5 linked regions of the Oryzias latipes genome follow. The protein of the gene in region 1 purifies or fractionates together with the protein of each later gene. This does not show direct contact. Links are inferred from orthologs where the notes say so. Each region holds a gene or a part of one and is shown in the gene's direction. Other genes may lie near its edges.

What was found.
Region 2: the proteins of vti1b (region 1) and stx12 purify together in Homo sapiens (affinity purification with mass spectrometry; 3 studies listed by BioGRID and IntAct, counting the BioPlex papers as one, with this or other methods). This does not show direct contact. The link is inferred for Oryzias latipes from reciprocal best matches to the Homo sapiens genes VTI1B and STX12.
Region 3: the proteins of vti1b (region 1) and vamp4 purify together in Homo sapiens (affinity purification with mass spectrometry; 4 studies listed by BioGRID and IntAct, counting the BioPlex papers as one, with this or other methods). This does not show direct contact. The link is inferred for Oryzias latipes from reciprocal best matches to the Homo sapiens genes VTI1B and VAMP4.
Region 4: the proteins of vti1b (region 1) and syntaxin-6 purify together in Homo sapiens (affinity purification with mass spectrometry; 3 studies listed by BioGRID and IntAct, counting the BioPlex papers as one, with this or other methods). This does not show direct contact. The link is inferred for Oryzias latipes from reciprocal best matches to the Homo sapiens genes VTI1B and STX6.
Region 5: the proteins of vti1b (region 1) and napa purify together in Homo sapiens (affinity purification with mass spectrometry; 3 studies listed by BioGRID and IntAct, counting the BioPlex papers as one, with this or other methods). This does not show direct contact. The link is inferred for Oryzias latipes from reciprocal best matches to the Homo sapiens genes VTI1B and NAPA.

What each region holds. Positions count from the first base shown.
Region 1 is NC_019880.2:1,874,587-1,881,253, forward strand, and holds the start of vti1b (vesicle transport through interaction with t-SNAREs homolog 1B), read left to right. Parts: upstream 1-2,600; 5' UTR 2,601-2,808; coding exon 2,809-2,905; intron 2,906-3,830; exon of another isoform or gene 3,831-3,853; coding exon of another isoform or gene 3,854-3,893; coding exon 3,894-3,952; intron 3,953-4,710; coding exon 4,711-4,908; intron 4,909-4,982; coding exon 4,983-5,156; intron 5,157-5,738; coding exon 5,739-5,800; intron 5,801-6,326; coding exon 6,327-6,420; 3' UTR 6,421-6,667. Other genes in the region: retinol dehydrogenase 12, read right to left, coding at 755-873, 1,347-1,561. UniProt on the Homo sapiens protein: V-SNARE that mediates vesicle transport pathways through interactions with t-SNAREs on the target membrane. These interactions are proposed to mediate aspects of the specificity of vesicle trafficking and to promote fusion of the lipid bilayers.
Region 2 is NC_019869.2:17,749,881-17,756,478, reverse strand, and holds the start of stx12 (syntaxin-12), read left to right. Parts: upstream 1-2,810; 5' UTR 2,811-2,926; exon of another isoform or gene 2,927-2,943; intron 2,944-3,489; 5' UTR 3,490-3,528; coding exon 3,529-3,625; intron 3,626-4,070; coding exon 4,071-4,140; intron 4,141-4,939; coding exon 4,940-5,039; intron 5,040-5,498; coding exon 5,499-5,636; intron 5,637-6,066; coding exon 6,067-6,110; intron 6,111-6,598. UniProt on the Homo sapiens protein: SNARE promoting fusion of transport vesicles with target membranes. Together with SNARE STX6, promotes movement of vesicles from endosomes to the cell membrane, and may therefore function in the endocytic recycling pathway.
Region 3 is NC_019862.2:3,864,477-3,871,039, forward strand, and holds the start of vamp4 (vesicle-associated membrane protein 4), read left to right. Parts: upstream 1-2,005; 5' UTR 2,006-6,563. UniProt on the Homo sapiens protein: Involved in the pathway that functions to remove an inhibitor (probably synaptotagmin-4) of calcium-triggered exocytosis during the maturation of secretory granules.
Region 4 is NC_019862.2:1,652,257-1,658,320, forward strand, and holds the end of syntaxin-6, read left to right. Parts: exon of another isoform or gene 1-1,667; intron 1,668-2,650; exon of another isoform or gene 2,651-2,742; intron 2,743-4,392; coding exon 4,393-4,487; intron 4,488-4,580; coding exon 4,581-4,657; 3' UTR 4,658-5,165; downstream 5,166-6,064. UniProt on the Homo sapiens protein: SNARE promoting movement of transport vesicles to target membranes. Targets endosomes to the trans-Golgi network, and may therefore function in retrograde trafficking.
Region 5 is NC_019871.2:5,023,655-5,029,718, reverse strand, and holds part of napa (alpha-soluble NSF attachment protein), read left to right. Parts: intron 1-3,521; coding exon 3,522-3,568; intron 3,569-3,680; coding exon 3,681-3,758; intron 3,759-6,064. UniProt on the Homo sapiens protein: Required for vesicular transport between the endoplasmic reticulum and the Golgi apparatus. Together with GNA12 promotes CDH5 localization to plasma membrane.

The sequences.
Region 1 (6,667 bases):
AGGAAAGACCAGAGCTTTGACTCAAAGAGTTGCTGAAAGGACATGAGCTTTGATTTGAGGAATTGGGGAGAAGACCCAAGCTTTAACTCGAAGAGTCAGAGAAGACCTGAGCTTTGACTCGTGTGGTCGAAGAGAAGATCTGAGCTTTGACTCGTGTGGTCGAAGAGACGATCTGAGCTTTGACTCGTGTGGTCGAAGAGACGATCTGAGCTTTGACTTGGGGAGTCTTAGAGAAAACCCGAGTTTTAACTGAAGAAGTTGGGAAGAAGCCCTGAGCTTTGACTCGATGAATTGGGAAAAACCCAAGCTTTGACTTGAGGATCCGTTGGAGAACATAAGACCCGATGACGAACTCAGGAAATAAACCAGATTCTTGTCAAATTGAAAATGGATTTGCAATTTGTGAAATCATCACCCTTCCACCCATGACAGAGGCCCATGAGTCAACGGTAGCTACCCGAGGCCTGTAGAGGCTGATATTCCTTTGGTCTGGTCTTGAGGTGAACTGGCTGAGATGTTTGTCCCCCCCTCCCATAAAATGATGTAAAATCAAGAGTTTTGTCTGAAATGAGGTAATCTGGTTAAATTAAATGTACCACCAGTGTAGTGTCTGCCCTGAGACTGGGAGGTTGTGGGTCTGAATCCACGGTCTGGTCATAGACACTTTCTTTGGATTGTGAGGGGTGACATGTTGATGCAGTGAGACCACTAATAGGACTTGGACAGCACCCGGGTCTCCTCGGACCCTACTCACCTCTCAGGGCCAGGTCCAGCGCGGTCTCCTTCCCGATGCCGGTGTTGGCTCCGGTGATGAGTACCGTCTTCCCGTCCAGGCGGCTCGCGGTCCTGCACGCGGCTCCAGCTGCATATCTTCTGTTCAACAGAGACAGCTGTTTTAACCCAACCCGGAGCGGCACGGCACGGTTTCCGTCTGAACGAGTGATTTCTCTGAGCCACACGGGTTAATTATTCATGGACAAACTTGGCGGAACGGCGCGGATCGTCGGGTCGAGCGACCCACGCCACCGAACGGGCCCGCCCCGCACCCAATGGCCCCGCTCCGCTTACGCATATTAATTGGACTCCTCCCACGTGCGGGCACCTGATAGGCCCGAGCAGCTCAGACGGAAGGCGGCCGCCTCATCCCGGTGCTCAAACGTTTTTCTGATTCACTCAAAATTCCGTCACCGTTTAGCGGATTTGAGACAAAACTCACACCGAAATCAAAGCGGCTGACTCAAATAAACACCTCTGGGGTTAAAAAGCAAAGCCAGCCTCCGTGCTGATGACGTCACAGCAGTGCAGGTACCGCGATGGGGGGACAGCGGGTCCCCGCTGCAGCTCACCGTATGTGCGGAGCGAACAGCAGCAGCAGCAGCGTCACCACCCCGATCCCCGCGATGATCACCAAGACCCACATCTGAGCGCTTCCACGGGCCTCTGCCTCCGGCCGGACGTCAGGGATGTGTGGGCAGAGCGGGGCTGAGCAGCTGATGTCAGGGCTGGAGGGGCGCAGCGGCACCGAGAGCGCACGTGCAAAGGATTGTGGGATTGTAGTCATTGTTGTGTTTTGTAGTCCTTTACATTGGAGGTCAAATACAAAAAAAATGTTGTTTTTTAATTTCACGTAGCAGCAGGAAAGATTAGAATGAATGCCAAAAGATATATATACAAACTAAATGTGTTTAAAAAACAGTAAGAAAAATCGTAAAGGATGAGTGAGAAACGGTTCATTATAAAGGAATACAAAACTATAGTTTAATTTAAGAAATGTAATGCCAGAATTCGAAGTAAAACATGGAAAAATGTCAATTATTGTAGATTGAATTTTGTAAAAGAAATTGGAAAAAAAGACAAAAACATATAAACACAACAGCTAAATCTAAATCCTCCCACAGCCTTATATTTTGCAAAAAAAATTTAAATAAATGTATATACATTTATATGATTTATTATCATTTGAACAATTATTATTATTATCACTAGAATCAATTACCATTTAAGTTGCCGTTATCACTTCATAAAACTGAAAGCTGCCTCTGGTTATTTCTGTATAACATTTATTTAGAATATCTATTGCATTATTATACGTTGTCCTCGAACAAAATAAGATAAAACATTCAAATAATATTAACTTTTTAAAAACTAAAAATGCATTTTCAGCACAAAAACTCAATTTGTAGTGAAGGTTTTATTTTATTTTTACAAATATCCTTTTATTTATTAAAATAATAGTAAGTTGAGTAACACATATACCAGTAGGCCTATTTGAATCAGTTGCAAAAATTGAATTATAGAAATCGCATCTAATTTAATTTTAATTGTACACATAAATTTAAATCAAAACATTTTCTTTCTTGTAACTAAAGATTCAATTTAGAACTCTTCTGTTTAACGAAATCAATAAACTACACTTCCCAATTTCCCCTGGAGCCAATGTTAGGTGTCTATTTAACTGCCTGACTAGAAATCTTTACTCTTTTCCCTTTTAAAATTCCGATAAGCAATATTGTGTGATACAGTTCATAAAAAATAAATTTAAAATGGTATCTTTAACACTATTTTAATTTTTAAATGTGTAAAACACAACCGATTATTTCATTCTTTTACGGAATTTTAGTCCTTTTGGTCACGAGGACCATCATGCGGAAGAATCCCGGGTTCTGATGATGAAGGAAGCAAAACAAACAGATTATCTTAACCTTTCCACCTACAAAAAAACCTTTTAAGACTCTTGAATATATCTATATTCAGGAGGAGCAATAATAACTGTATTCAGGAGGAACTATCCGGGTTGATCCCTGAGAAATGTCGTCGGAGGAATTCGAGAAGTTGCAGGAAATCTACAGATCTTTGTACGAGGAGCTGAAGTTAATTCCTGACAGAGCCGCGAAATGTCACGGAGGTAAACGAGGATCATGTTCTTTGTTGCTCATTGTGTTCTTAAAATCTCACTAAAAAACAAAGTGAAAGAGGTTTCATTCAAGATCATTCATAGGTTTCATCCAACAAATCAGTTTATGCAAAGGCTAAAAACAGAAAAACTGTTCTTTCTGTTTTCATTTGAGGAAACGTTGTTGATGCATATTTTTTGGGACTTGCATGGAAAAAACATCTTATTTGGTTTCATTAATTATGATAATAAACATTCGTCTTAATTTGATTTAACGAATCTCCTGATTTTACTAAGTATTTTATTCACAAAACTAAATTTAGCAATAAAGCTCCCAATTGTTTTGATTGATCGACTTAAATTAGATTTTACTAACAATCCATTTCCCCCAATACAAACAAAGAAGCAATTCATACTTGTCATTTTGCTCAGGTTTGTCATTTCATATAACTTTATTTTTGTATATTTATCCCTCTGGTGTTTATAATTGATGTACAAGGTAATGGTCTTTATTATTTACTGTACGTCTCCTGGGTTATGAATGAATAAAACTAACAAAATCTCACTCTGATCATCTTTTGATCTATTTCCAAAGTCGTCTTAAATTATGATCATGTTTTTTTTTATTTAGCCAAGAAGCTGTGTCGTTTTCTAGGACAGCAGTTTGTTAGAAATTTGCGTCAGAGTTGTGGGCGGGACTGTCGGCAGGAGTAAGCCCACCCCCACTTCCCGTCACCCGTCTGTTTACACGCTCTCCTGCTTACAGCCTCTCACACCCTCAACCTGACGTTACAGGTGCAACACATCGCAAATATACGTTTTTCAAACTGCTTTTTTTTCCGTCCGCTCCCGATTCACAACGATTTGAATAAAGAATTACTCAGAAAGGCAGTTATAAGCTACATGTTATACATGTCCCCCATCGTTTTCATGGCAGTGGGTGTTTGAAAGGATGGATGGATGGAAGGAGCCTCTGTAACCTGTGTGCTCTGGTCTGCAGAGGAGAGGAAGAGGCTGGTGAGGAGCTTCGATGAGCGGCAGGGAGAGGCTGAGGAGGTGGTAAGCAGATGTCCTCCTTCCTGACGGCTCACATTCATGGAGTCATTTTGCGGTTAAACACAACAGATGGCACATTCATTATTAAATATTAATTTTTAAAAAAGGCTTTGAAAAAATCAAACTGGGGTTTTTGGTGCTACAGTCAAGAACCAGCGAAGACTTGAAGTCAAAGTTCAAATATTTGGTTGCGTTTCACACACAAAAATAAGAATATTTGATCAAATTTTGTTCATCTCTTCCTGTTGGAGGGAAAACGAGCTTCTAGTTTCACATGAAGTCATTGTGCGTTTATCAGCTGATTAACCTTTAATTTCTTTTTTTCATACTGTTTTTACATTTATTTGAAATGAACAGTGTGATTATGGTTACATGGTTTGCATGCAGCTTTAAGTTTAGTTTTCTATTTTAAATTTCTTTTTGTTCTTTTCATTCATTTGAAATAAAAGAAAAAAATGTTTTATTGTTTTTTCCCCTCTTTTTTATTTTTATTTTTTACAGCAAACAATACCAAAAAAAAGAAAAGCAAAGAACAACAAAACAAACAAATACCCTGCAGATTTTACAATTAAATGTTCAAGTAGAGGTTGACTTGTCTATAGAAATAATCCATTAATGGTTGCCATGTCTCAGGTGTAATTTCTTTTTTAACTGAAGAGTTAATAATTCCATTTTTCTTGAACCTTGTCGGCGTTTCTATAGTCGTTTCAGACGCTAAAATCCATCTTTTTGATCAAATGGACTTGGATTTTCTCTCACAGTTGCAGGGCATGGAGGACGAGCTCCGTGCGGCGCCGGCGTCCTACAGAAACGCCATGAGCACCAAGCTGCGTCTGTACCGCAGAGACATCGGCAAACTGCAGAGGGACATGAAAACCTTTGCTCCCGGCTTCGGCCCCGCCCCCCTGACGTCTCACGGCGACCGCCAGGGCCTCTATTCACCCGAGAACCAGCAGAGTGTGAGTGTGGACCTTCACGCCTCACAGGTGTTCTGGAAACCTCCTGACTTCCTGTTTGTCCCTGGGGGGTGCAGACACACCTGCAGTCGCAGAGGTCGCTGCTGCTTCAGGGGACGGACTACCTGAACAACGCCACGCAGAGCATCGAGCGCAGCCAGCGCATCGCCGTGGAGACGGAGCAGATCGGTACAGACATCATCGAAGAGCTGGGGGGGCAGAGGGAGCAGCTGGACCGAACCAGAGACAGAGTGAGGCCGCCGCCTCCTCCTCCTTTCCTCCTCCTCCTTTCCTCCTCCTCCTTTCCTTCTCCTCCTTTCCTTCTCCTCCTCCTCTTTGTCCTCCTGCTCCTTTCCTCCTCCTCCTTTCCTTCTCCTCCTCCTCTTTGTCCTCCTCTTCTTCCTCCTCCTCGTGTTCCTCCTCCTCCTTTCCTCCTCCTCCTCCTTTCCTCCTTCTCCTTCTCTTCCTCTTCCTCCTCCTCTTCCTCTTCCTCCTCCTCCTCCTCCTCCTCCTCCTCCTTTCCTCCTCCTCCTTTCCTTCTCCTCCTTTCCTTCTCCTCCTCCTCTTTGTCCTCCTCCTCCTCGTGTTCCTCCTCCTCCTTTCCTCCTCCTCCTCCTTTCCTCCTCCTCCTCCTTTCCTCCTTCTCCTCCTCCTTCTCTTCTTCCTCCTCCTCGTGTTCCTCCTCCTCCTTTCCTCCTCCTCCTCCTTTCCTCCTTCTCCTTCTCTTCCTCCTCCTCTTCCTCTTCCTCTTCCTCTTCCTCCTCCTCCTCCTCCTCCTCCTCCTCCTCCTTTCCTTCTCCCGCGTCACTCGTTTCGTTTCTTCCTCTGTTCAGTTGGTGAACACGGGAGAGAACCTGAGTCGAAGTAGGAAAGTTCTGCGGGCCATGTCTCGGCGGTAAGCTCACCCACCACTCGGGTTGATTCAAAGGGTCACGTGTCAGTCAAAAGGGCCACGCCCCCTTTGTGCCCAGCATTTATGTACAGTACTTTAAAAAAACATAAAAGCACATAAACATGAACACAGTCAAGAGTTGGAGAACAGGAAGAAGAACAGGCTTTGGATCCAGACTATAAAAAGTCTCCCTCAGACAGCCCTCAGGTGTGGAAGCACACCTGAACGTCTGAGAACGAGGGCGTGTTCACTCTCAGCGGAGCGAGGACAATCGTTTTATTGAAGCAGAGTATTATGGGTAAAGCAAGAACTGCTCATAACACAAGAAGGTCACGCGTGGTAGAGTGTCCGCCCCGGGAATGTCAACAGCTGTAGAAGTTTATGGGATTTTGGCGTCTTAGAGGCCGCGGGCACTTCCTGTTTGGAACGCCAGGGAGGAGGAGTCACTTAGACCAGTTCGCATATACAATAATCAAATAAACGCTTAAATCCACCGATGATGAGGAGGGTCTTCCTCTCTGTCCTGCAGGCTCATGACAAACAAGCTGCTCCTGGCTGTCATCATTCTAATGGAGCTCGCCATCCTGGGCGCCGTGATCTACCTGAAGTTCTTCCGGAAGTGAGGGAGCGTCTGGAGAGGAGGAGCTTCTGCCCTGTAGCAATAATCCTGTTGGTGTGAGCGAGTCCGCTCTGAGACCAGGCCCTTCCTGAAGACGTCTGACTAGAGAAGCACCTCCTTTGACCTCACAGAAGCTCCTCAGAGGGACGTTTGCTCTTGCCAGGGGTTTTCTGAAGGTCACGGGGTCAAAGGTTTCGAGGTCAAGAAATTTCTCTGTTTGGCTTTGAAGGCCTGAGATGAAGCCAGAACGC
Region 2 (6,598 bases), on another chromosome or scaffold:
TTAAATTACACTTATCTTGTCTTTAACAATCAGTTCAGCCTTCTGTCTTACTGTTGATCTGTAATGTTATTTTTTATTGTAAATGTTTGATGTTATTTGCATACCAAAAAATTAAATGAGGCACAATTTTGACCAAAATTGTTTTATTTGTTCATCTAATTTTTTGTGTAGTCAGTCACATTTCAACAGAAAAATATTACGAATATAACATTTATATTTAATTAGATTTTAAGAATATGTGGAAACACTAAATTTTTCCATACTATTTGAACATTATACATTATTTACATACCAAACATTAATTCACTCTTCAAAACAAAAAAGTCCTTGATAATTTGCCAAAACACGGCGGTTAAGCCAGATCTGATTCACACCGCCCATCAGTGTGAGCGGCACGGGAGAGTCCCTGATGTGGAAGGACTTTATCCTACTGATCACTCTTTCCACCATAATTCTGAGGCGGGTGATGGCTTGGATTTGTTCATTTTCCTCCTTGCTGAATTGAGCTGAAAGCTTAAAAGGTGGAATGATGATCTTAGATCCAATGTCAGTAAGGAGGTCTTGAACGAGGAACTTTTGTCCGCCATGACATCGTCTCCTGGGTCCAGCAAAGGAACTTGGCTTCTAAGTCATGGATGTAATCCAAAGCCTCATCCAGAGCACATGTGAAGATAAAGAAATTAAAAATCAGTCTTAATATATTTATGCTACCTTTCAACACAACACAGTAATCATGTTTTGAAAAGTATGTTAAGTATTTAATTACAAATACATTTAATTTATTTTTGTTAAGGAAATTACAAAATGACAAAATGCTCAAAAGTGATTAAATACATGTAATTAAAATAGGTGAGAGCATGAACATCTTTTATTATAAATATTAATTTTTTCAGGTAGAAATGCATTTATCCAATAACGGTACACATAGTTGACTAACGTTAACCAAACACATTATGAACAACCTTACCTGTGTCACGTAGTCCTGATCCATCTTTACTGCCTTAGCTTAGCCACCGTATGCTAGTATCTTCACAGCATAGCTGCATAGACTGACGTTTGAGGTTCTGTCATATACTGACTCCCTTCTCAAAGGAGCAGTAAAGTTTTTCCAAGGGAAAATACTCCGGACGACACCACTCTTCAGGCGACGAACGACGCAGCCGCACCCCATCCGGAGCGAAGTTAGTAAGTGCCGGCAGCAGAGGGTGCTACCTGTGTTTACATTAAAACTATGCCCTTCATCTCTTCGCATCGCCTATATCCATTTGGGTTTCAGGTTTGGATCCACAGGAAAATAATGAAATGAAAAGTAAGGCTGTTTTTGGTAGGAAGACGAACAGCCTGGAACGCAACAGAGACTGCAACTCTTCGACTCTGCCATTCTTCATATCTGCTGCTACGCTAACAGGAAGTTGTTTTACACGTCATTGACGTATTTCCGGTCGAAAAATGCGGAAGTGTGAAAAAGGTCTATTACCACAGGCACCACTGTCACCTTCACTTTCCAGGCTTTCTCCAGTTCTTCTCTGAGTCTCTGGTATTTCTCCAGTTTCTCATGTTCCTTCTTCCTGATGTTCCCATCACTTGGCACTGCCACATCCACCACAACGGCTTTCCTCTGTTCTTTATCCACCACTACAATGTCTGGTTGGTTCGCCATTACCATCCTGTCAGTCAGTATCTGGAAGTCCCACAGGATCTTTGCCCTTTCATTCTCTATCACCTTCAGAGGTGTTTCTCTTTTTGACTTTGAGGTTTCCAGTTCATATTCTGCACACGTGTTTCTGTATATTATTCCAGCCACTTGATAATGGCACTCCATGTATGTTTTCCCTTGCAGCATCTTCAACCCCGCAGTTATGGTGTAAATGGCGTACACTTACAGTATATAGCGCTTTTCTACCTACAAGGCCCAAAGCGGTTTACAAACACAGACCCATTCACACACTGGTGGCGGCAGATTTATAACTGTAAACAATAAATCCTTGTTTATTTCTGAATAATGGTGTGTGTTTTGTCTATGACTTGATGCGTACTGATGGAATGCTGTTATCATACAATGGGTTTGTAACTAAATACAAAATTAAGGATTCTAGTAACTGTTATAGCAAAGTCTGTTAAGCAATTACCATACCTTTACTTAATCTTATTCATAACATATTACAATACAATGCAATCAAACCACAATTTCCAGAATTAATGGAAAAGTTAATGATATTCCCCTAAAAGATAAAAAAGGCAACAATAAACTCTAACCTTTAAACAAATAATTTTCTGCAACTTTAGCATAAACAATGAACGCGACTTAGAAACCACCCTAATGGACAAATCTTTTTCTTTATACACAAAGTACCCACTTCCACCTAAAATGAAAGAAACGCATTTTAAAATAATATCTAAAATTTACCCTGTTGGAGATTTTTTACATAAAAGATTCAAATTTCAATCAGAACCACGCATATTCTGTTCATCTGAAACTGAAACGTAGAACATCTCTTTTACAGTTGCAAAAATATTTTGGACTGATATTCACAGTTGGTTGTCACTCAAAGTTTTAAATATTCCCTTTTTTTCCTTATCTGATGTTCTTTTCTATATGAAAAATCTGGACCCGGGAATTTCTTTTTTTTCTATATGCGCATTTATAACGTTTGTTCACCCTTACTTGGTCTGTATGAGCATTTAAAAAAAACAAAACAACAAAAAACAACGTCATACCGAAATGTCACATACCAGGAAGTCGAATGCTCAGTTTTGATTGGTGGCTCACTGGACCCGGGCACGCTACAGCGTTTTGATTGGTGGTTTGGTTTCAAATGCGTGACCTGATTGGTTGTCAGAGGAAGTAGGGCTCGGTGATCTCAGCTGAATCCGGAACCAAGCCCTGATCGAAGGGCGAGAATTTGTTTCTTCAGCTGAATCATATGCAAGTATAAAATAAACGTCAGTTACCTTGTTTCGTAGTTTCAAATGTCGATTAAACGCTATTTTAAATATGCAACGCAACGATTTCATCGTTTATAATCTAACGCTTAGAAGTTAGCACGTTTAGCTAACACGTTAGCATCGTTCCGCTACGTGTTGTTGGGAATGTCACTCTGTGATGTAAAATTCCGTTAGCAGAACGTCGCTCTGGTAACATTGTTGTGGTTATACTATCAATATGTTAACGTTGCGGCTTCATGTTTGTCTATAAGTCAACATCTGCTGGTTAGTTAAATAAGCGTACGGGTCTTATGGTGTGCGTCATGTCAAAAAAAAAAAGCAGCGAAATCCTAACAGTTCTGTATATACTTTACTAGTCTGTATTATAATTTTGTGTGATGATTTTAATAAATGTCAGCTTTTTAGTCTGTGCGTTTTAGTAAGTTTTGAAGCGTGATTGCATTCTCCCTCCGACCTACATTTGGAGTTTTAGATTGAATTATTCATGTTAAATAACAGTTTGTGGCCTTTTTCAAATTTCCTTTTCTTTTTTTGCATGCACAGTTTTAGCTCAACATCAAAGCCAAGCCTTCCGCCTCAAACATGTCCTACGGTAAAGCGGAGTTCCGCCCTGTCCCGAGGGACTTTGGCTCCCTTATTCAGACATGCAGCTCCAACATCCAGAAGATCACACAGAACAGTGAGTCCTCCATTGCTGGGAGCTGAGACTCATTGTTAGTCACTGGCTCAGGAAGAAGTCATGTGAGAATGCTTACAAGAATCGTGATGATCTGCTGCTTAACTCAGGCCTGTTCAGGGGGGGAGATCCAGGTTAAGCAATCACATGGCTAATTCATCACAAGTGCTTCAGGAAAATACACTATTCTAAATGTTCAGGTTTGCTTCCTTTTTGAGATGTGTACAGTAAATAAGTGCTTACATTCTTTGGTACAAAACTCACAAATTAAGTTGCATTTTCTGCTGTCTATACAAGAATGGACACTAAACTATTTCTTAGCTCGTTTGCTTCTGCGGTTTGGATTGGTTTTTGTGTTTTTTTCTGTGTTGTTGTTTGATATCTGTGCACACAGATGATCCCTGAGTAAAGGTTTTGGAGATTAAGATTGTTTCTGTTTTCCTGACAGCCGCACAGATTAAGACCATGGTGAACCAGCAAGGGACAAGGCAAGACTCCAGTGAACTTCACGATCGTCTGTATGTCATCATTTCTTGTTTCATTTTTTTCTACCAGTTTTAATGAAAACACAGGCAGATGGAGGTTTTCTAGCTGGTTAACATCTGATGCAAATATCAGTGTTATCTTTGTTGGTAATAACCTCCTAATGAGGCTGAATATGAGACCAACACTGATGCAATTATTCAATAAGGCACCCTGACTTATGTTTAAGACAATATGAAAAAAAAAACTAACACAGCCAGTTTGCTTTACATGCATTTCTTGCACACACTGTTGTTAATCATATGTATTGAGAAGTAAAACCTTTAAAATTGTTATAATTCAGGCTTTTTGGTGACAAAATTTGGTTTCAGCTACAAAACCTACATCTACTGACCCAGGAGTCCTCCTGCTTTGCACATTTAAGTGATGCTGTGAGACCAGGAAGAGGTTAAATGACTGTTGCTGGTGGTTGTGGAGTAAACTTCAATAATCTCTTTTGTCTTCTGCGACTAAATGAATGTGTCACACTTTTTGATGGCGTGTTTTCACTTTGCAAAGAATTTTAAAATTTTGATTTATTTCAGAGCTGGTAGAAAAGCTCTATTATTTGATTTAAAAAAAAATACTAAGAAAATTAAAAATTTCAAGCTTTATTTGAATTGAATTGACAATAAAAGCAATTTACAGATGCATTAACAGTAGTGCATTACACATTGAGTGTGCTTTAGTGTGGAGCAGAATGGCTGGGACTGTAATAGCCTGAATCTGGGAAGCAGCTTCTTCTTGTGGCTGATGTTCAGTCCTGTTTTTATTGATGCACAGTTTTCTCTGCAGGCAGCAGATCCAGCACTACACTAACCAGCTTGCGAAGGAAACCAACAAACACCTTAAAGAACTAGGCTCTGTCCCTGCGCCTCTATCCCCCTCTGAACAGGTAAGTGGGAGTTTGTTGAAACGTCTGCATGAAGACCAAATCCTGAGTTTTTACCAAAACTGTCTCCCCTGACTGCAGTATTCCAAACACGGTGTGCAGCAGTACTTCAAAGTATTTTTGCAGCAGAAAGGTTTAACTGGAGGGAGATGGTTTGCTGTTGTGACCTCTGAAGTGATCAGATATTAGTAAAAGAAGGCGATTCTTGTAGTTGAGATTTGCTAATTTTTTGTTTTGTAAATTTTAAGCAGGAGATGAAAGCCGAGTTTATGTATAAACGATACAGAGGAAGCAGGGATTTTTCCTGAAAATCTTTAGGAAAAAATAGGAGTTAAGTTACAATGTTGCTGCTTGAATGTTGGAAAGTGATTGTCAGGATTGAACTTTAAAATCTTAACCGTTATCTAAATGCTTTTTTAAAAAGTGTCTCCTAATGTGCTTTGGGTGCTCTGCTCTGTCCAGAGGCAGCAGAAGATTCAGAGAGACCGGCTCATGAGTGATTTCTCTGCGGCGCTCAACAACTTCCAGGCGGTTCAGCGACACGCAGCCGAGAAAGAGCGGGAGTCCATAGCCAGAGCCAGAGCGGGATCCCGCCTCTCAGTGAGTGAGACTCAGGAATGGATTCACACAACACCAGGAAAAGTGTGGAAAACAACCACAATATTCCTTATTTTTCCTTTTACCTGTTAATCATCAGCATTTTTTCTCCTACTTAGGATTTTAATTGTCCTATTTTGAAAAGTCCCATAACTTATCTGATGATTCATCTAATCCAAATCCAGTTGTGTATTATTGTGACTATTTGAAGTCATGAAAGGTAGAAAAATCTTGTTTTATCAGAGCTGTAAAAATTTTAACATCCACAAATGAAATGAAAAGTTTAGACATGCTGTGATTTAGCAGTTTGGGGTGAAGACAATGGTTTTGTTTGTAGGAACAGTCTAAATGACATAAAACCACCCGTGTTTCTTAAGGGATGTTGTTTCTTCAACCTGCTGACTTAACTGGAGTCTTTGTGTTCTGTTTCCAGAATGAAGATGGTTTTCGGGATGAAAAGCTGGTTTCTTTTGATAAGTAAGTGACTTTCCTTCTCTCAGGGTTTACCTGTAGAAGGACACTTCTATACCCAAAATCTACATGATGACTTAATCATTTCAGACGTCAGAAAACAAGTTCATCTTTCTGAAGTTTTCAATGTCAGAACACCATTTCTTTAAATAAATGTTCTGTCAGGAAACCTTTTTATTCCTTTATGTGACATAAATAAAACTGTTGCACAAAGGATCTGATTTACTGTAACAAATCCAGTCCAGTTTTTCCTACAGGAACACATCCAAATGTTGAAATTCTTCCATCACCTCCACTCATCCATGAAATAAAAAGACTAGATATGATTGGATGAATGAAAACGTTGGTGCTGTGATGAGGATTTGCTGCGTTAGAGTTTGAAAGAAGAAAGAGAATGTTGCAAAATGTCATTTAATCCAATAGAAATCGAGTTATTAGTGGAAGAGACCATTAAAATGATTGTTTATATCTAAAAATGTACGAGAAAGAATTTG
Region 3 (6,563 bases), on another chromosome or scaffold:
AACATATCTTGCCCGTTTGTTTAATGGTGGGGCTCTCGCAGGTCAGAAGACTTTGCCCTAAAGGGGAAATCACCAACAAATCAACACAAAAACATATTAAAGATCATAACAACAACAAATATAGAAAACAGATAACAAAAAAACAACAATCGATTTTAGAAACCACAACAAATCCTGAAACCAAAGCTTATTTAAAACATTTTTTTTTTTTTAGAAAATTCTACCCTGCGACAGACTGGCGACCTGTCCAGGACATCCCATGCCTTCACACACAAGTGGCCGGGATAGTGACCCCGAGAGGGAAAAACGGCAAAGGAAAAGAATGAATGAAAAAAAAAGTTTTAGAAAACAACATAAAATGTTGAAAAATGAAACAAAAGAAGAAAGGTTGGTAATTTAGATCATCACTGATCAGATGATGACGTTTGTCCAGTGGTGGGTCGTCAAGGCCTTCTCTGAAGGCCTAAAAATATCTGAATCGTGTTAATTATTCACGTGTTATTTTCAATGCTTTTTACTTTCTGTAGTTGCAAAAAAAGAGATTTGTTTACGATTTTGTTTATTCAGTTTATTTAGAGGCATTTATCATGGCTACAGGAATTATCAATACGCAACGCAAAGCTCGTTTCTGCATCGTAAAATAGTTTATGCGGTGTTGAGTGATTCAGACGTAGCACTACTGAAAGCCCAGGGCCCTGTTCCAGAAAGCAGGTTATGTGAGCTACCACAGTAAGTTTGAGGCTAAGGAAGTTGATAACCTCAGCTTTCAGTTCCAAAAACAGAGGTATGTTTCAGGGTATGTCAAGTTGCCATGGCAACTCATGCTCTGAACATAACCTGGTCTGGAGCAGGTTTAGTTGAAGGTTAGTTTGTTTTCAGAGAGGTGAAGCAGCATGGCGTGTCCATTTGAAGATGATTTAGTGGATGAAGAAGCTCAGATAATACTTTTTCCACAGTGAAATGGTGATAAGACCACATATGGATGTTGGAAAGATAAACTTTTTTACTTTGATCTAACTTAATTATGTGCTTCAGTTAAGAGAAATCATTTTTAAGTCAGCTTAAAAATAACACGTAGTTATCAGTTATTTTACTTTCATTCAAATTAATTCAATTAAGTAGGTGTAACTTTGGTGCTGCTGTTAGATCGGCACCGCAAGGGATTGTGGGATACCATTCACTTTGCCTGTCTGGACGGATTTGGGTTCAAGTGTGGTTTTTTGACAAAATGTGTTTAGTTGTTTAGCTGTTTTAATGTGTTTTACCAAGTTATTTTACCCTGTTATGTTTAATTCTTTCAGCACCATGAGGGAGAGGGAGGAAGAGGATCACGAGTTTATTTAGAACCTTTACTGCCCAGTGGAGGAATATTTAAGTCAGAGAACAGACTTCATAATGTGGTTCCATTTTGTTTCATTCATTTTATTGTTATAAAAATGAGAAAATCTGCAGCCTCTTAGACATAGGAGAGTTCAAGAATTGCAATAAATTAAGATTGAAAAACATTTAATTAAACTGGAGTAATATGATATTTAGTTAGATAAATATGTAAATTTGAGTTGTAAAAAGAAATATTGAGTTGGATAGACGTAAGAAATTAGGTTGAATAAAGTAATAAGTAATTCATTTAAGTTGGATAAGTTATATATATATATGCGTCACAAGAATAATAGAAATAAGATCAGAAACTATTGCTTTTACTTTGTCCGTTATTTTTCTGCAAGCAGAAACTCTTTTTTTTCCTTTTTTCTTTTGATGATGCAGCCGTGTTACTTTTTTGATGGGTTTATAATCTTCATACGCCGTCATTAATCTCAGACTCCGTCTCACTGAATTGTAGCGCTCTCTTTTTTTCACCACGCGTTTCCATGGTGACTCCGGAAATCGGTGATCCATTGAGAATGTCTTTATGTACTTGCTGTGCACGTGCATTAACCCAGGGTTACCAAGTCGAGCGTAATTACGCTAACTCATATCCGGTCTTTTGGAACCAACATACCCAGAGTAAGCAAGTTCAGGCGGATTTCAGCCAGAGTTCAGGATTAAAGTCAGGGTAGTTTTAATATGCTCCCTGGAATACCCCCCTGGTTATCCATGTCTGGGCGTCCTATTTTTATTTGGTGCACAGGTCGAGACGCCAAGATGGCAGCACGCACTCTGTCTGTCTGTTAGCGTCCTGTGAATGAATGAGTTTATTTTTATTTTTTCTTAACGACTTTTAAGCTATTTTAGATTATAATTTATAGTTGTTTCTGGCCTTTCTGAGAATGGTATTTTGTTTATCAATTACCGTGCTTGTTTTTAGAAAGGCTAGCTCCGAAACTCTGTGAGTCAAAGCCTACTCGATTCATTAAGACCCAAAACCAGGGTTGGTTCACTGATATTCGAAGGAACGCTCCATTTTTTATTTTTATTTTTTTTATTTTTATTTTTTATTTTTTCGACGATCATGAACTGTATGCGGTCATCATGAAGATTATCACCGGGTGATCGTCGCTGGATTCCTGGCGTGACTAACCTTGACGGGCCTTATACTTCATCAATTAAGGGAAGTCCCAATTTACCTTCTATCGAAGCTGGCGCACTATTGTATATATTTTTGCCAAAGTTGAGATGCTGATGCCGTCCTGCCTTCCTAGCACCTGTGTGATATGCCCTATCCGAAGCAGATCCAGGAGCGCTTGGCTGGTTGATGAGCTTGCTATCTTTGTGTGAAGGAAAGTGCTTGATTCAACCCTCGGATCGTGTGATCTATACCCATTTAAAGTTGAACTAAGCTTGGGCAGTAATTTCGCTCTTTTTGCCCGCAGCTTTCAAGCTCCGTGTTCCTTGCTGTTTGTGTGGCACGTCACGGGAGGACGTCTGACAAAAAACAAAACAAAACAAAAAAAAAAAAAAAAAAAAAAAAAACGGCTCTCGGTGTATCCCGAACTGGATTCTGGCAGATATCTGGACTGAAGGCTGCCATGGCCAAAGTTTTAAATACCTTCCTTCAAAGCCCCCGGCAAATAATATCAAGGGCTGAAATATTCTTCCTGCTAACATTGGCCTTATATTCCATCGGAGACTTTGGCATTGCCGTAGCTCTTCGGGAGTCAGATGACTCCCGTCCAGTGAATCCAGTGTGTTGTGTATTTCATGCTGGAACAAAAACTTTTATTCATGAATGTCATAATGCATACGCATCTGTGTGTCTCTCAGACAATCCAAATGAACTGCTGCACCTCAGCTGTGTAATGGTTCTTCAGAAGAATTTTACTATAAACTCTACTATAGCATTCTTAAAAACGTTCCCATCTCTAGGACCTTCAAATGCAGTATGTAAGAAACCACAACTTCAAAGACGCCTCATCTTCTTATTGTTGTTAATCTCCGGGAATATTCCACCAAACCCTGGACCAGATAGTCCTACTTTTAGTACTCCTGAAGACTTCAAATCTCGTAATGGTCTTGGATTCATTCATCTCAATGTAAGGAGTTTATTGCCTAAAATGGATATGATACGCATTTGGGCAATTTCAACTGAAGCAGATGTAATTGTTGTTTCTGAAACATGGTTAAACAAATCAATAACTGACTTTGACATACATATCAATGGTTATAATGTTTTTAGGGCTGATCGTCCCAAAAGGGGGGGAGGTATAGCCATCTATATCAAAACTAAACTTAATGCAAAAGTTCTTCTGCAAACATCAATGGCAAAGAAATTTGAACTTTTAGCTCTTGATCTGGAGATCTCTAATTCTCTGCATATTACCCTAGTTGGTTGCTATAGAGCGCCCTCTGCTGATGGCTCTGCTCTTCCCTCTTTAATGGAACTGCTGTCTTCCTTAAAATACAATGAAGTTGTAATAATTGGAGATTTAAACTGGAACTGGTTGCAAGCTGTTTCTGATGATTTTAAATCTTACTGTGATTCCCTGAACCTCTTTCAATTAGTAAATGATCCTACTCGACCTAACCCCAAATTTCCGGAGAAATCCTCGCTAATTGATTTGATTCTTACAAATTCTCCTTCAAAGTATTCAACTGCTGCTGTATTTGCAAATGATATAAGTGATCACTGTATCATTGCTACATCGAGAAACACAAAAATGCCCAAAACCAAACCACACATTATCATAAAACGCAATGTCAAGCAATTTTGTGAACAATCCTTTTGTCAAGAACTATATGAATTTGACTGGCACACGATGATGGAAATTGATAATGTTGAAAGGGCCTGGAGTTATTTCCATAATGAATTTACAAAAATCCTTGATAGACATGCTCCTATCAGGCACTATAAAGTGAAAGGTCGTAATAATCCGTGGTTTAGCTCAGATTTGGCTAACCAACTACATGAAAGGAATGTAGCATGGGCAAAAGCTAGACATTCTGATAATGCATCTGACTGGCTGGCATTCAGAAAACTACGCAATGCTTGCACTACTGCAATTCGAAATGTGAAATCTGACCATTTTTTGAAAAATACTACAGAAAATTTAAATAATCCCTCAAAGTTTTGGAAGATAGTTAAGTCCCTAAATGAAAATAATTCAGGTATTGAGCTCCCTTCAAGTATAATGAAAAACACTTGTAATATAACAGACAAGACAGAGATGCTTTTATGTTTTAATGAGCATTTTGTTTCCTCTGGATCATTATTTAATTCTATAAAACATTCAGCTGAGTACTCCCTCCCTGTGAATCACGAAGATTTAATACATAATTTCTCATTTTCCCTCTTCACAACTTCAGAAGTCTCAGAAGCCCTTAAACTCCTTGATCCTACTAAATCTGCTGGTCCTGATGATCTGGAACCATATTTTATAAAAGCGGCAGCAGACTCTATCGCACTTCCACTGACCTATTTATTTAATTTGTCTTTGTCCACAAACACCATTCCGCATGCTTGGAAGTCCGCTTATGTGTTACCTCTACTTAAAGGTGGTGACCCAACAAATTTGAATAACTATAGACCAATTTCCAAGTTACCCATTTTGGCAAAAGTTTTGGAAGGTCTTATAAGCGTACAATTAAAAGAATTTCTCATTTCAAATAATATTTTAAGCCCATCACAATCAGGTTTTAGAAAGCAACACAGCACAACAACCGCAGCTCTTAAAGTTTTAAATGACATATCTGAATCTCTGGATGACAAACGCCACTGTGCCGCCCTTTTCATCGACCTCTCTAAAGCCTTTGATACTGTGGACCATGCTGTGCTTAAAAATAAACTGCGCAGTATTGGGCTGTCAGAGCATTCTGTTGGGTGGTTTGCAAACTACCTGTCTGACAGGACACAGTGTGTAAAGGTTCAGAACCAAAAATCAAAATTTTTAAAAGTATCCGCAGGGGTTCCACAAGGCTCGATTCTTGGGCCACTGCTTTTTACAATCTATATAAACGACCTTGATAAAGGTATCATCGATAACCTGCACTTATATGCTGATGATACCATCTTGTACACTTCAGCACTTTCAGTTGAGCTTGCCATATCAAAGCTCCAATCAGCTTTTAATCAACTGCAGAACACTTTTTATCATTTAAAACTGGTTTTAAACTCAAATAAGACTAAATACATGCTATTCTCTAAAAGCAAAGCCAAACTCAAAAACCTGCTCCCAATTACTACAAAAGAAGGGCATTTAATTGAACTGGTCACAGAATACAAATACCTTGGTATTTTAATTGATGATTGTCTAACTTTTAAACCACATATTCAGAAACTGGCTCATAGGCTGAAACTAAAATTACGCTTTTATTTCAGAATCAAATCATGTTTATCATTCGAAGCCCGTAAGAAACTTGTCACTGCTACTTTTATGTCTGTCCTTGATTTTGGTGATGTGGTTTATATGAATGCTTCTGCTGATGCTTTGCATGCTTTGGATACTGTTTTTCATGGTGCACTGCGTTTTATAACAAACATGAGGTCACTAACCCATCACTGTCTTCTGTATGCTCGGGTAGGTTGGCCCTCCTTATCCCAGCGCAGACTGAAACATTGGTACCTTTTAATTTATAAATGCATTCTTGGGTTGGTACCGTCTTATCTCCAGCAGCTCATAGAACTGAAGAGCAGCAGCAGCTACAGCCTGCGCTCTCAGGACACGGTCCTGCTCTCTGTGCCCAGAGTGCGCACAGAGATGGGAAAAAAGGCTTTTAGATTTGCTGCGGCACAGTTTTGGAATGAACTCCAGAAAGATTTTAAATTGAAAGAATTGATCTCCCTGGGCTCTTTTAAAAAACTTTTAAATGAACGTGAGACAAAGCTTTCAAATTGTAAATGCTTTATTTAAAACTGTCTTTTATGATTGAGTGTGAGTGTATATAAGTGTTGTGTGTTATTGTTGTGCTGCTGCCTCTTGGCCAGGACGCTCTTGAAAAAGAGATTTTTAATCTCAATGAGTTTTTATCCTGGTTAAATAAAGGTGAAATAAAAATAAATAAAAATGTCTGTTGACTCAGAAATCACATTTGGTCCTGTTTACAATGGGGGTGAAGATGAAAGTGACACGCTGATCTACGAAGACTTTCTTTTCCCCCCAAGCTCGACTACCTCACAAGATAAAACAAGA
Region 4 (6,064 bases), on another chromosome or scaffold:
TGCACTGTGTAGAGAGCAGTGAAGGAGTTCAGTCACAGTCTAGGGGTCTTGATCAGTGCTGCTCACTCCTGGTCGTCCTACCACCCCGTCTAGAAAACCCAGTTTTCTACATCTCTAATCCCTGCTTGGTTAACTCAGTCAGGTGCTTCCACATTCTGATTGAATAAACACACCTGGTTCAGGTAAAAGGTAGCATGATTCGGTTCATTTAGAAATGAAGGACTCAATGTGTTGCTGAGAGCTTCAAGACTTACCAGATAACAGCTGTAACAGAAGCTCACTTCAACAGCATATAAACAGGTCAACTTCGGTACTATATGTGTATTACACAGCAGATGTTAGAAGGAGCCACAAAGTTAAATTGTTGCCACAATCAAATAAGGGAAAAATAATTACAATTTTGCCCCTCTCACGATGCCGTTGTGGAAAAAGGGCTCATCAAAATCTGGTTTTGGTCCTTCTTTGCCAAATTCTAGTTGTTAAGCTATAAAGACAGGAACTGTTAAATAACAAATTTCTTGTTTTATGGTAATTGCACATCATGTTCTTATTGTGAAAGGGCCGGTTGGATGGGATGGGTCGTTGTTGTGTTGATGATGGTGGAATGAATAAAGAAAACGTTACGCTGCGAAGTGAATTTCAATTTTGTTTAACATTGGTAGCAGGGGATGATTAGCAACTACAGAGTCCTACAAACCTTTGACGAAGGAAAACCGTACAAAAGTTGGAAAAAATAAGTTGGACCCGAGTTACAGACCTTGAAAAGAAGAAGCAAGCACTCTCCGTTCCTTTGGCGCTTTCTTCTGGGCAAGCGAGAGACGTGGCGATAGAAATATCAAAGGAGGATTTGCTCAAGGACACAGGACACGTCACTAATAAAGCTAGATGATCGGTTTCTCAAAGAACAAAGACCGGACCTACTCAAGTTTGGATAACGAGAGACAGTAATGTATCCGTGACGGATTAGATAATTGATTTTGAACAGCGGTATACTCAAATGTGTACATACAAGAGGGATCTTCCGGATGCAGTATGAGCATTTTGTTATGTGTGAATAGATTTAGTGTCTCTTGGATGCTGTGCTTGCTGAGTACAGCAAGACTCATCTCTGTCAGCAAAAGAAAAAGATCTGCTCACGCCCAAGATTGGACAAATTCTCTGGGTTGCAAGGCAGAGTCGACCAAAAGTCTTGTTTGATGCTTTAAATCCATGAAACGAATAGAACGGTGTGCAAACTGAAATCCAGTGAGGTGGCTCTGAACTTTGAGCTTCTAGGCAGGGACTCAGCCCTCAAGATGAGGGTGTTCAGTGATGCCTCATTTGGCAATCTTTCAGATGGAGCCACTCAAGAAGGAAACCTGATAGTTCTAATGGGAGAACGTGGAAAGTTTTCACCGCTCCCCCTCAAAGAGAGTGAACAGAATTGTGAGGAGCACACCTGCTGGAGAAACACTGGCAATGTCTGATGGAACTGACAATGCACCGTTTGCAGCAACACTGTTCTCTGAACCAACGACTGAACACGCTCCACCCATAATCTGTGTCACAGATTCACTGGCTGACGCACTGAAGTCTGTCTGGAAAAAAGTGCCAACTCATCCAAGCAGAGTTGAGCGAGTGTTGTGGTACAACGTGAAAGAACAACTTGCAGACTGCTTTACCAAAAGGTGCATCTGTTAAGGCTCACTCTCTTTACACCTCCCTGTTTTTGGGGTTCTGGGATTGGAGCTCAGCACAGAGAAAGCATGTTCCTTAACACATTGCAAACGCATAGTAGAGTCAAACCCAAAGAAGTTTAATCTGGATGCAGCGGAGCTGTCAAAGAGGAAGGCCTTCATCACCAGCACCAGACATATGGTCAGGGTAAGCCTCCGCCACACCTCAGATGTGAACTCGCTTTGGGAGGAACCCCAAACGTCTGCAGCACGGTGGTCTGGTTCCCTTCGGTTTGGTCAGTCTGGTAGTTCATTGAAATAGTTGAAGACCAATGGCTCCTCCAAGTACAGCCCTCAAAGATTTTAAAAGTAGAACTCATCACATCTGGAGAGAATGGTGGCCTGACGCTGGGCAGCATAACAGACCCCTAAACTAAAAAGATGATCTTTACTGTTCAGCTGTTTGCACACATAATGAATGATTATCCTTTAGAAAGCATCCCCTCCACAGGAACACATTTGGTCTGGAAAGGTTTGGTTTGTTTTTTAATAGCAGCAAAGACATCAGTGGGATAATGTCACGTGTCACGATTCCCTAACAAGGAATACTTATTCTAAACAAAACAACATGTTACAGCTGTCTGAATGGTGGGCCTGACAGAGTAAAGAGGGAGTTTTGTTGAGTCCATCTAAAAACAAAAAACAATACAGAAAGGAAGGCCTTCATAAAATCAACTTCAGTGATTTTACAAAAAATAAAGCACAAAAGATCTTTCAGACAAGACGGTAAATATATATTTTTAACGTCTTATTTTAACACTATATTTAACTGAAAGCTGATTTAGTTCTGGGGAACTGCAGCTTTTTCAGGAGTGCTTCAGATTTACGAGGGGGGGGGGGGGTGCTATAGCACAGTTTACATCAGAAATCTAACCATACATGCCCCATTAGTTATTTTCTTAACACGGATCAGTTGTCTTGGACTCCTCCAAAAGGTGCATCTGCATGCTAGTTACCTGAAGCCCCGAGTGAAGGACAAGCGGAACTTAGTTCATGTTAAATGCAGCAACAGCAAATTCAGTGTTGTTAAAAAAAAAAAAGGCTCGTCTGGATCTGTGGGCACCCCTCTGGGGCGGGGCCCGGTGTTGGGCCCTCCTGGCGCGGTGGGGGGGCTGCTCTCCTGGTTGGGGTGGGGCAGCACTTTCTTTCCCCCCATGCCTCCCTGCTCTCTGGCTCTGGGGGCCTCGCGGCGGTCCTGCTGGTCCTGGCCTGGGTGGCGGATGTGGTCGCCCGGGGGGGATGTGTGGCGTTGGAGGATTCTGGCTGCCGCTGCTGCTGTGGCGGGGGTCTTGGTGTGGGGGTGGCTGGGCACTCTCCCTCTTCTTTTCACATTCCACCGTCCATTTTGGAAGAACACAAACACTCACCTGAGCACAGGTGTTAGCTCACCTTTGCACTAATAGTTTGCGTGTCGAATGAAATATAATTTCACACTAGTTGGTTTGAAGTCATAGGTATGCGTGTGTGAACACTATCTGTTTTGTGTACATGTTGACAGGTGGACATTTTTACAGCTAACAGGTGTGTTGATAACATTTGAGTGTGCGTGTGGACAGGCCCCGCCTTTTGAGATTTGTATTCTATCTGAACCTTACTGTAATGATAAACATCCAGTAACTTGTTGCTTTATGCCGCTTTATGGTCTCACCCCCCCCCCCTCCTTTAATCACCCCCCCCCTCTCTAACCTCTAACATCCCTCTCTCTTCTTCCCTTCTTTCCTTTTCCGTCCGGTCCAACACACAAGTTTTTCAAATATGATTGAAATTAATAAAGTTCGGCCTCGATTACAAAAGGGGTTTATTCAGACATACCTCTGGTTTGTCAGAAGATTTATAACCCCTCTTGTTAAAGTAAAATATGTCCAACACAAGAGGCCCTCAGCTCTCATCTGTTTGCCCAGCTGTTGGACAGGACAAGTTAAAAAAAAAAAAAAATAAAAAAAAAATAAAAAAGAAGGTGAGTTTGAGCTATAAAGGCAGGGACTGTTAAATAACAAATACTTCTTTATTTGTTTTATGGTAATTGCACATATGTGCTCTTATTTTGAAAGGGCAGGATGGATGGGATGGGATGGGACATTGTTGTGTTGATGACAGTGGAATGAATAAATGTAAGCTAAGAGGTGAATTAGAATTTTGTTTAACACTAGTGACCCTCTGGGGGGGTAAATATCCCGCTCATGTTTAGTGTGCTGAACTGCTGCTGCACAGAGGTGTAACAGGCTGTGCATGTACTCGTACTTTAGTACATTTTTACTTGAACTACGAACATAAATGTCTGTTCATGACATGACTGATAAAGTTGATTTTAAAATGAGATTAGATGAAACTTTTTATCCACTTTATCTTAAAATAGCTTTATAAAAGCCTTCTTTTCAGCAATCAGCCAGCATTTAAGTCAGGAGCCGTGATAATTGAAGAACCAACCATGGTCACAGCATCATGAAGAAGCTACAGCGTCCTGGCTAACCATAACCCTCTGTCTCCGGTTCACCTGTGGAGGAGAATCAGAGACGGAGAGGAACAGTACTGTGACATGGTCGTGGTGTCTAAAGGTCCCTGTTTGCCCTGCTGTATATTATGGTATGGCAGCGTTTGTATTCTGATGAAACGTGAAAGTAAAACCAGATGTCTGCTGCTGCTGTTGATGTGTGCGTCTGTGTGGTTCCTACCGCAGAATGCTGGATGATTTCAGCCATGAGATGGACAACACACATTCAAGACTGGACAATGTCATGAAGAAACTGGCCAAGGTGTCACATATGACCAGTGGTAAGAGATCTGCCCGGCAACCAGATACAGCGGTGCTGCTTCACACATGGTTGGTTGTCAATGAAAGACTCTGCTGCCTTCCTGTTGTTGCAGATCGCAGACAGTGGTGCGCCATTGGCATTCTGCTTGCTATTCTTCTGGTTGTCGTCCTCCTCTTCTTCATCCTTTGAGAAAAAACTCCAAGTCTTATGTTTTCTACTTGACTGGCCCGGGTGTTGCTGTACCGGACCGGACTGAGCGTGACTGAAAGCTGTAAAAGGATTCATGTATCGTGGTCCGTCATAACCAGGAAGTGTTCATTTTCCTCATTTTAGCAGTCTAACTGAGAATTAAATGTAACAAAGTCAACTGTAACATGTTCATAAATGCTGACAAATACTTGTTACTTCAGAAAAAAAGCACAGCCCAGTTTTCAAGAATGACCTGGTTTGGAGTTTCAGTAGCTTTGTTGGGTGGGCTAATCTGACCCGTTGACACTACCTTTCCTTGTATCGTGGTTTTGCTTAGACGTTGTTTGTAGCACTTTGTTTTTAAGTTGTTCTTCAATACATGACAAAAAAGTGTTTATTTGGTCATCTTTTTCATTTTGTAACCCTTTTTCCAGTACTGACAACAAAATGCGACAACACTTTGTGTCCCTTTGTATCCTTCTTTGTTTTTCAATTTAAAACATGTCATGGGAATGTGGACGTATTTTGTGTGTATATGTGTGTGTGTATGTGTGTCTGCTGAGAGCAAAAGTTGTAATTGTAGTAATTTTTAAGTATTATTAACTAAGTACAATCAGAGATGACCAATTACAAACCTTAAAATGATCCAAAAACGTATTTGACAAAATGATGCAGAATGAGAATAAAGGCATTAAGTTGCCTGCCCATGCAGCTGTGTGGTCCAGGTGGACCAGTCTCCACATCACTGTGAGGAAACTTTGGGGAGAAAATGTCCAAACTGCTGCAGTTCTCCCTTTGCTCAGCATTTTTCTCTCTAAAAAGCTCCTCGGAATATTGAAGCAGGTTTTTAGGGGAAGATCTTGACAGACCGTTTGAAAGTTATCCTTCTGGAGCGAAGAGTTGCTGGAGCGGAGGCCACTGCTCTTCACCCCCCCGCTGCTGTCGCGGGGAGACCCGCTGGGAGACCCGGACCTGTGCAGCAGCCCGTGGTCATCATGGGAGACTCTGTTGTCCGGCGTGTCCGGGTCAGCAGGTGCCACACACACTCTCTCTCTGGAGCTGTCGTCAATGACATTACAAACTCTGCTCACCAACTCTGTTAAACACCCCTCTGCGGAGACTTTCATCATACATGCAGGCACCAACAACCTGAAACTGCAGCAATCAGAGACTCTGAAAACAGACGTCATCCATCTGATTCACACCATCCAACAGTTAAACATGAACTGTATCATATCTGCACCACTGCCTGCACCCCGTTATGGAGACATCATGTTCTCACGCGTCCGTCAGCTTCACATTTGGTTAAAAACATACCGTCATTCCATGAGCATTCCATATGTTGATAATTTCACAACTTTTTACAATAGACCATACCTCTTTAAATCAGACGGTTTACACCCCAAC
Region 5 (6,064 bases), on another chromosome or scaffold:
AACATGTTATTCTGACATTCTTCTGATCATGGAGGACTTTAATGAAGCAAATGTGCCATGAGAGATGGTCATGTGTACTGTGGAAAATTAATTTTTACTGATATGTAAATCTCCATGATATTAGATCTGTGTTCATCCGAACAGGCCCTGATAAAACACTGAGTAGTTAGGAATATGAAAGATCATAAATATCTGTAGCCAAAACCAAAACAGTTGTAGGGATATTACTGGAAAATGATTGGTTCCTCTGGGTTTTTTTTAATGCACAACTACCTCCATTTCCACTGTCTCCTCCTTTCCTGCATCAACCTGATATAATTTGTCTGACGGGCTTAGAGGAATACTGTGGGAATCTTATTTAGCAATAACAGGTACCTGTTGTTGCTGGGGGGGGGGCTAAAACTCCCATGGAGGATGGAGGAGTTGAGCTGCAGGCAGATGTGAGTTGTAGGGCCTATATATCATGCTATTGTTACGCCTTTCAGAGTAAACTTTATCCATATATGTGATCATATATTACCTTTGGCACACTAAAGAATTATTTTTTTGATGAAATATGATGTATTTTCACGGCTCTTTTTCCTACTGGAAGTAAGAATTAAGGAATTCATATTTTTTATTAATTTCCTTCTATATTCTTTCCCATGAAATTTAACGTTCGGTGTGTGAAGTCCTGACTTTACAATTGTTAGGAGTTTGATGGCTAACTAACCATCTGGTTCAGTCAGTAGTTCTTTATTTTGCTGGTGACATGATTGGACTTGTTGTCATGCTACAGGTCAACTCACACATTCCACCTTCATCATCGCTCCAGGAAAAGAATGTAAACGTTTCCATCAGCGTTGCAGATGCATCCTTTCACGTTTGGTGTCGTTTACATGCTATGCCCATTTACATCCTTATCCTCCAGTCCTGTAGCCACTGACTTTTAACTCTCATAATGTGCCACCCTTTTGTGTTCTTATTGGATCTGTGACTCTGTCTTTTGTTTTGTCCTGTTTTATGTTTCCTGCCTAGGGACTATGGATGCAAATTAGCATCATTGCTATAATCCAGCATGTTTACGCCTATCATTGTTTGATAGATGTTCATTAATGTGCACTGTCCCTATTAAATAAATAAAAATAGACATCTATTTTTCGTCTACACATTAACTAGATCAACCTCAGGTCCTTGGGTTGCTGTCAAGTGTTTATCAAAAACTTGACATTTCTAGGTTTTACACCTGCAAAAAAAAAAAATATATATATAGAAATGGCTTTGATGTGATACAGAACTTGCTTCCTCGAATATATGACAGGTTGCTTTGAATATGCAAACATTGGAGAACGTGGGCCTTCACGCCTTTCCTAAAACAAAAAAAACAAAAAGAATATGCAGACCAGGGATGATGTTGGGATGATTCAGTTGTTGGTCATATCTGATTCAGAAGGATGCTTTCTGTTGGAACGAAGACTGATTATCAGTGTTCAGCATTTTTAGTGAAGTGATTGATTGATTGTGTTCTTAGAAACAAACTGACTCTATTTGTCAGAATAACCATTCTTGCTCTAATACCTTTTTTTTTTTTAAACATGTTCTTGATAATAATAGGACACTGTACAAAACAAAGTTCAAAAATAAACATTAAAAGTAGGGCTGCACGATATGAGGAAAACTCGCGATATGCGATATTAGTGATCAATATTGCGATGACGATATAACTTGCGATAAATGAACCACTAGCAAAAACAACAAAAACATTTCTATTTCCCTGCAAATGTTTAATTTAAATAAGAGTAAAAATACCTTAAATTATTCTCCAAATGACCCTGATCTAATTAGCAGGGCAACATCTAACGTAAGAGCTCCATCCTATTGGTCAAATGCCTAAAGGGATTTATTCAATTCATTAAATAGTTAAAGTTGCCATAAGATTGTTTTAGCACATTTAAAGTTTACCATTTATTGCAAATTTTCGCTGACTTTTGCGATCTGGATATTGCACAGCTTGAAATCGCGATAACAATAAATTTGCGATTAATTGTGCAGGCCTAATTAAAAGCACAATAAATGGAAATTGGCAACTGATAACCCTTTCTATGGTATTTGTCTGTGTAGTTTATGTTATTCCAAGTAATAAACTATTACTTATTTGATGCTTATTTAGATGCTTCAATAAAAGGAGGAGCCTGCTGGCCCCCACGTCCAACATTTCAAATGTTTGACAGATTTTGTGCAGCGTGCTGCAGACTCCCGATTGGTAGTTGGCTAAAAAATGTGGATTCAGTCCGACTCGGACCAATCACCGCTTACAGACGGCTCCAATATGGCGATCCCCATATTTCGAAAAAATTGACCTAATTTTGTCGGATTTAGAAGTGAACCAACTAGTACGGGCGACGTGGCACTCGCTAGGTCCAGGTTTCAGATGCAGCCACTGATTCTAACACGGTGAACTATGCCACAACAGCTGGAACTTGTCTTCCTGTGGGCCATGGCAAATAATGAGGAAACGACGATGTGAAATTCACACAAACTTAGCTTTTAACCCTCCTATGAGTTCAGGCCTGAGGATCACAAACCCCAAAACATTTTTCCCCTGACGTGAGAGCTTTAAGAAGACATTTCAGTATTTTAAACATTTTTCTACTGGCTGGCTCGATCATCTTTTGATCTATTGTCAAAGCGTTCCCAGTGGGTTATTTTACTTATGATTATGCCGTTTTTAGCCAAAATTATTTCTAGGACATAGTTTCCTTTGAAATTCTTCTCTGACTGTTGGCGTGGAGCAACCCCCTTTCCCGTCACCCGTGACTGAGAGCTTTCTGTTTATACGTTCTTCTGCTATCTGTCAGCCTCTCACACCCTCAACTTAACATGACGAGTGCAACAAAAGTGGCGAGCAATGTTGGAGCCATCCAGCCGTACAGTTTTGATCCAGATTCCAGATCAGACGAGGAAAACAAAGACATTCGTGGATCTATGTGTCTGCAAGTGGATGCATCAGGATGAAGTGGAGCAATATTCAAATGCAATTTTAATCTTAATTTCATTTATATATGTCCTCCTTCATCAGAAAAATGCCACAAGAAACCACAGACTTCAGCTGTTTGTTTCATTTTCTTTTAATATACAGTCTTAAATTGGGATTTTGAGTGTTCTTTAAAAAGGTATTAAAGATCCTTAAATTCTCTTTTGTAAATCTGTAGACTCCCTATTCTAATTCAAAAGGTGGTTTGCAGCAGGAGACGCTCTGCCTGTCCATGTCTGCTGCGATTTGACAGAGTATTCAGATCAACTGAGTGGTTAAACATTTAACCGGTCCCTTAATTTGCGTGCAAAAGCAACACAATAAGAAATGTTATCCCTCTGGACTGAGGAAACTTTTATATTTTCAAGCTTGGCGGTTTAGAAACAGCTTAAAGAGACGGCTCTGGTTTCCTTTTATTTTTCAACATGAGACCATTAAACCCCAGTTTTGTTTTTTTCTTTCCACCAGTTTATATTTTACCTTTTATTTTTGTTTGTTTTCTCCACAGAGGCCATAAACTGCTTAAACCGAGCAATCGAGATTTACACCGACATGGTGAGTTTCAAAGCTGCAAGCTCACTTAAAATGGGAAGAAAAAAAAAAAATCATAGGATGTGCTCCTTTTTTATTTATTTATATTTTTACAGTTGACTTTTTACCATTTTAGGGCCGTTTCACTATTGCAGCAAAGCACCACATCACCATTGCTGAGATTTATGAGACCGAGCTGTTGGACATCGATAAGGTCAGATTACAGAATATGTTTGTTTTATTTCTTAAAAAAGTGTTTGCAAAATAAGTCTGTCTTGACAAACAAGTGTAAGTAAAATAAATAAATACAAATAAAAACATCTGTAGAAACTGTTCCTGGCAACAGAAATATTTCAAGAAATTACCATTAAAGTACCAAGAATTTATTTTAAAGTATAAAATACGTATTTTTTGGAGAATAGGTCATGGTGGGTTTTTTGTGCGTAGTTTGGCTGGAGGTGTGATTTATGTGATATTTTTGAAATGAATAGCAACAACCACTAGAGGGCGCTATAGGCGTGCCAGTACTTGCCACTGATGGAAACGCAGAAGAAGAAGCACCACTCAGTTTTACTCCAGACCAAAGCGACGCAAAGGATGAAAAATTGAACAGATTTAGAGATTTAAAGTGATTTGAAGAGATTAGCAGACTTGTCGGCATGTTTTTTATGATATGGTTGATGAAATATCCATTCTTGGTTAATTAAGAGTCATATATATGTATATAAATATTTGCACATACACTTTTATTTTGCCAAACATATACGAATCGTTGCATTTTATCTTCTAAAAGACGTAAATGTTTAATTTTCTAATTAAATAAATCAAATTTGAAGAGAAAATAAATATTTAAACAACTTTTTCGTTGCGAAATTATTTTTTTTTACATTTTTATTTACCTTTTTCTTCTTTTCAATTGTTCTTTTGATTTACACTCTATTTGAACTCTCCACTGCGGCGTGCAGTTGCCCAGTTTCAGGGTGGACACTCTACCTCCGTGCCGGTGTTTGAACCCTGTATTCACAAGTGTTGCACAGCTTAATGAAACCAGTAGAAATGTTAAACACAGTCCTGTCATCCACACTCTTAGAATTTTTTTTTTTTTTTTTTTTTTTTTAAAGTTGTAAAAATGAAAAGCATCTGGGTTTTACTATTTTCTGCATTTAAAAGATGACTCTTGAAAAAGAAAAATGTTCACCTTAAACCTCTATGCGTTATTGAGCACAACATGAGAGAAATAATGTGAACCTTCGGCTTTAATCATCAAATCAAATCAAAACTTTATTTATAAAGCACTTTGCATATAAAAATACAACACAAAGTGCTTTACATTAAAACACAACAAAATATAAAAACAAGCATGACGATTAAAATAAACAAGCACAAAAATTAAAAAATAGGGCCCCCCTCCCCGTACCAAGCACCCCACTCCTTTCACTCCTCCCACCCCCTAACTGATGGGGAAAGACAATGAGAAATCATGACTGTTTCAGTGCAGCAACCTTCTTTCTGGTGTGAACCGCTCTCCTGATGTCACACTTCTATGGAGCCAAAATAGTCTCACCTCATTTGTGTGTGAGCAATCCTTGATTTGTAACTTGTGTCTGCATGTTTGTGTGTAACTTTGGATTTGTGTGTGTGGGCGTAATCCTTGATTTGTAACTTGCATCCAGGTTCAAATTTCTTGTTTGTTTTTTTTTGTTTTGTGTCTTTTGTTGACGTGTCTTCTCTGGACTCTTCAGGCGTCCTGCTTACCTCGTTGAGCGTTCTGGACTCTTACAGGGACACCAAGACTTTGAGCTGAACTCTGTCTGCAGACGGTCTTTTGCAACTTTGCTACGGTGGTGGCTACGGTTCTAAACCTTAGGTTATCCAAGAGCTCTTTTGTGTGAGACGTCCAACAATGCAAACGCAGGACTGTGTTTTTATAGTGCAGGGCAGTGCTTAGAGCAGCCATGAAGCTGCGGGTTCACACACGTATCCCGTCCCACCGCATGGGGGATGTTGACACTTGTTTTAGTGGTTTTTGCTTGATCAGATGGTGTTATGACTTTGATCATTATCCAACTGCATTTTGTGTTGTAATCATTGACTGTTTACAGGAATTGGCCTAAGTAATCCCTCCCCCCTGGCATTCAAAACAGGAAGTACCTCCTGGTTCCTAGAAGCCAAAATCCCGTAGAAATAAACAGTCATTCTATTAGTAATTAACTGCTCTTTTACCTTTTTCAATCCTTTTTTTTTCTCTGTAGTGCAGGTTAATCACGTTGTAAACTGGCCAATCAGATGCTTCAATGAAAGCGTGTGGTACTTACTGACCCCCCCCATGTCCAACGCTCAAAATGTTTGATAGATTTAGCGTAGCCTGCTTTCAAGAGGTGGGGGTGTGGGCTTCCAACAAGCTCACCTCTGATTGGGGAGAGCGGTTGCCATAGAAATGTTGACTCAGACCAATCACTGCTTGCTGATGTCGTCTGGCTCCATTATGGCGGCGACCGAATTGACTTCATTTGGTTGGAG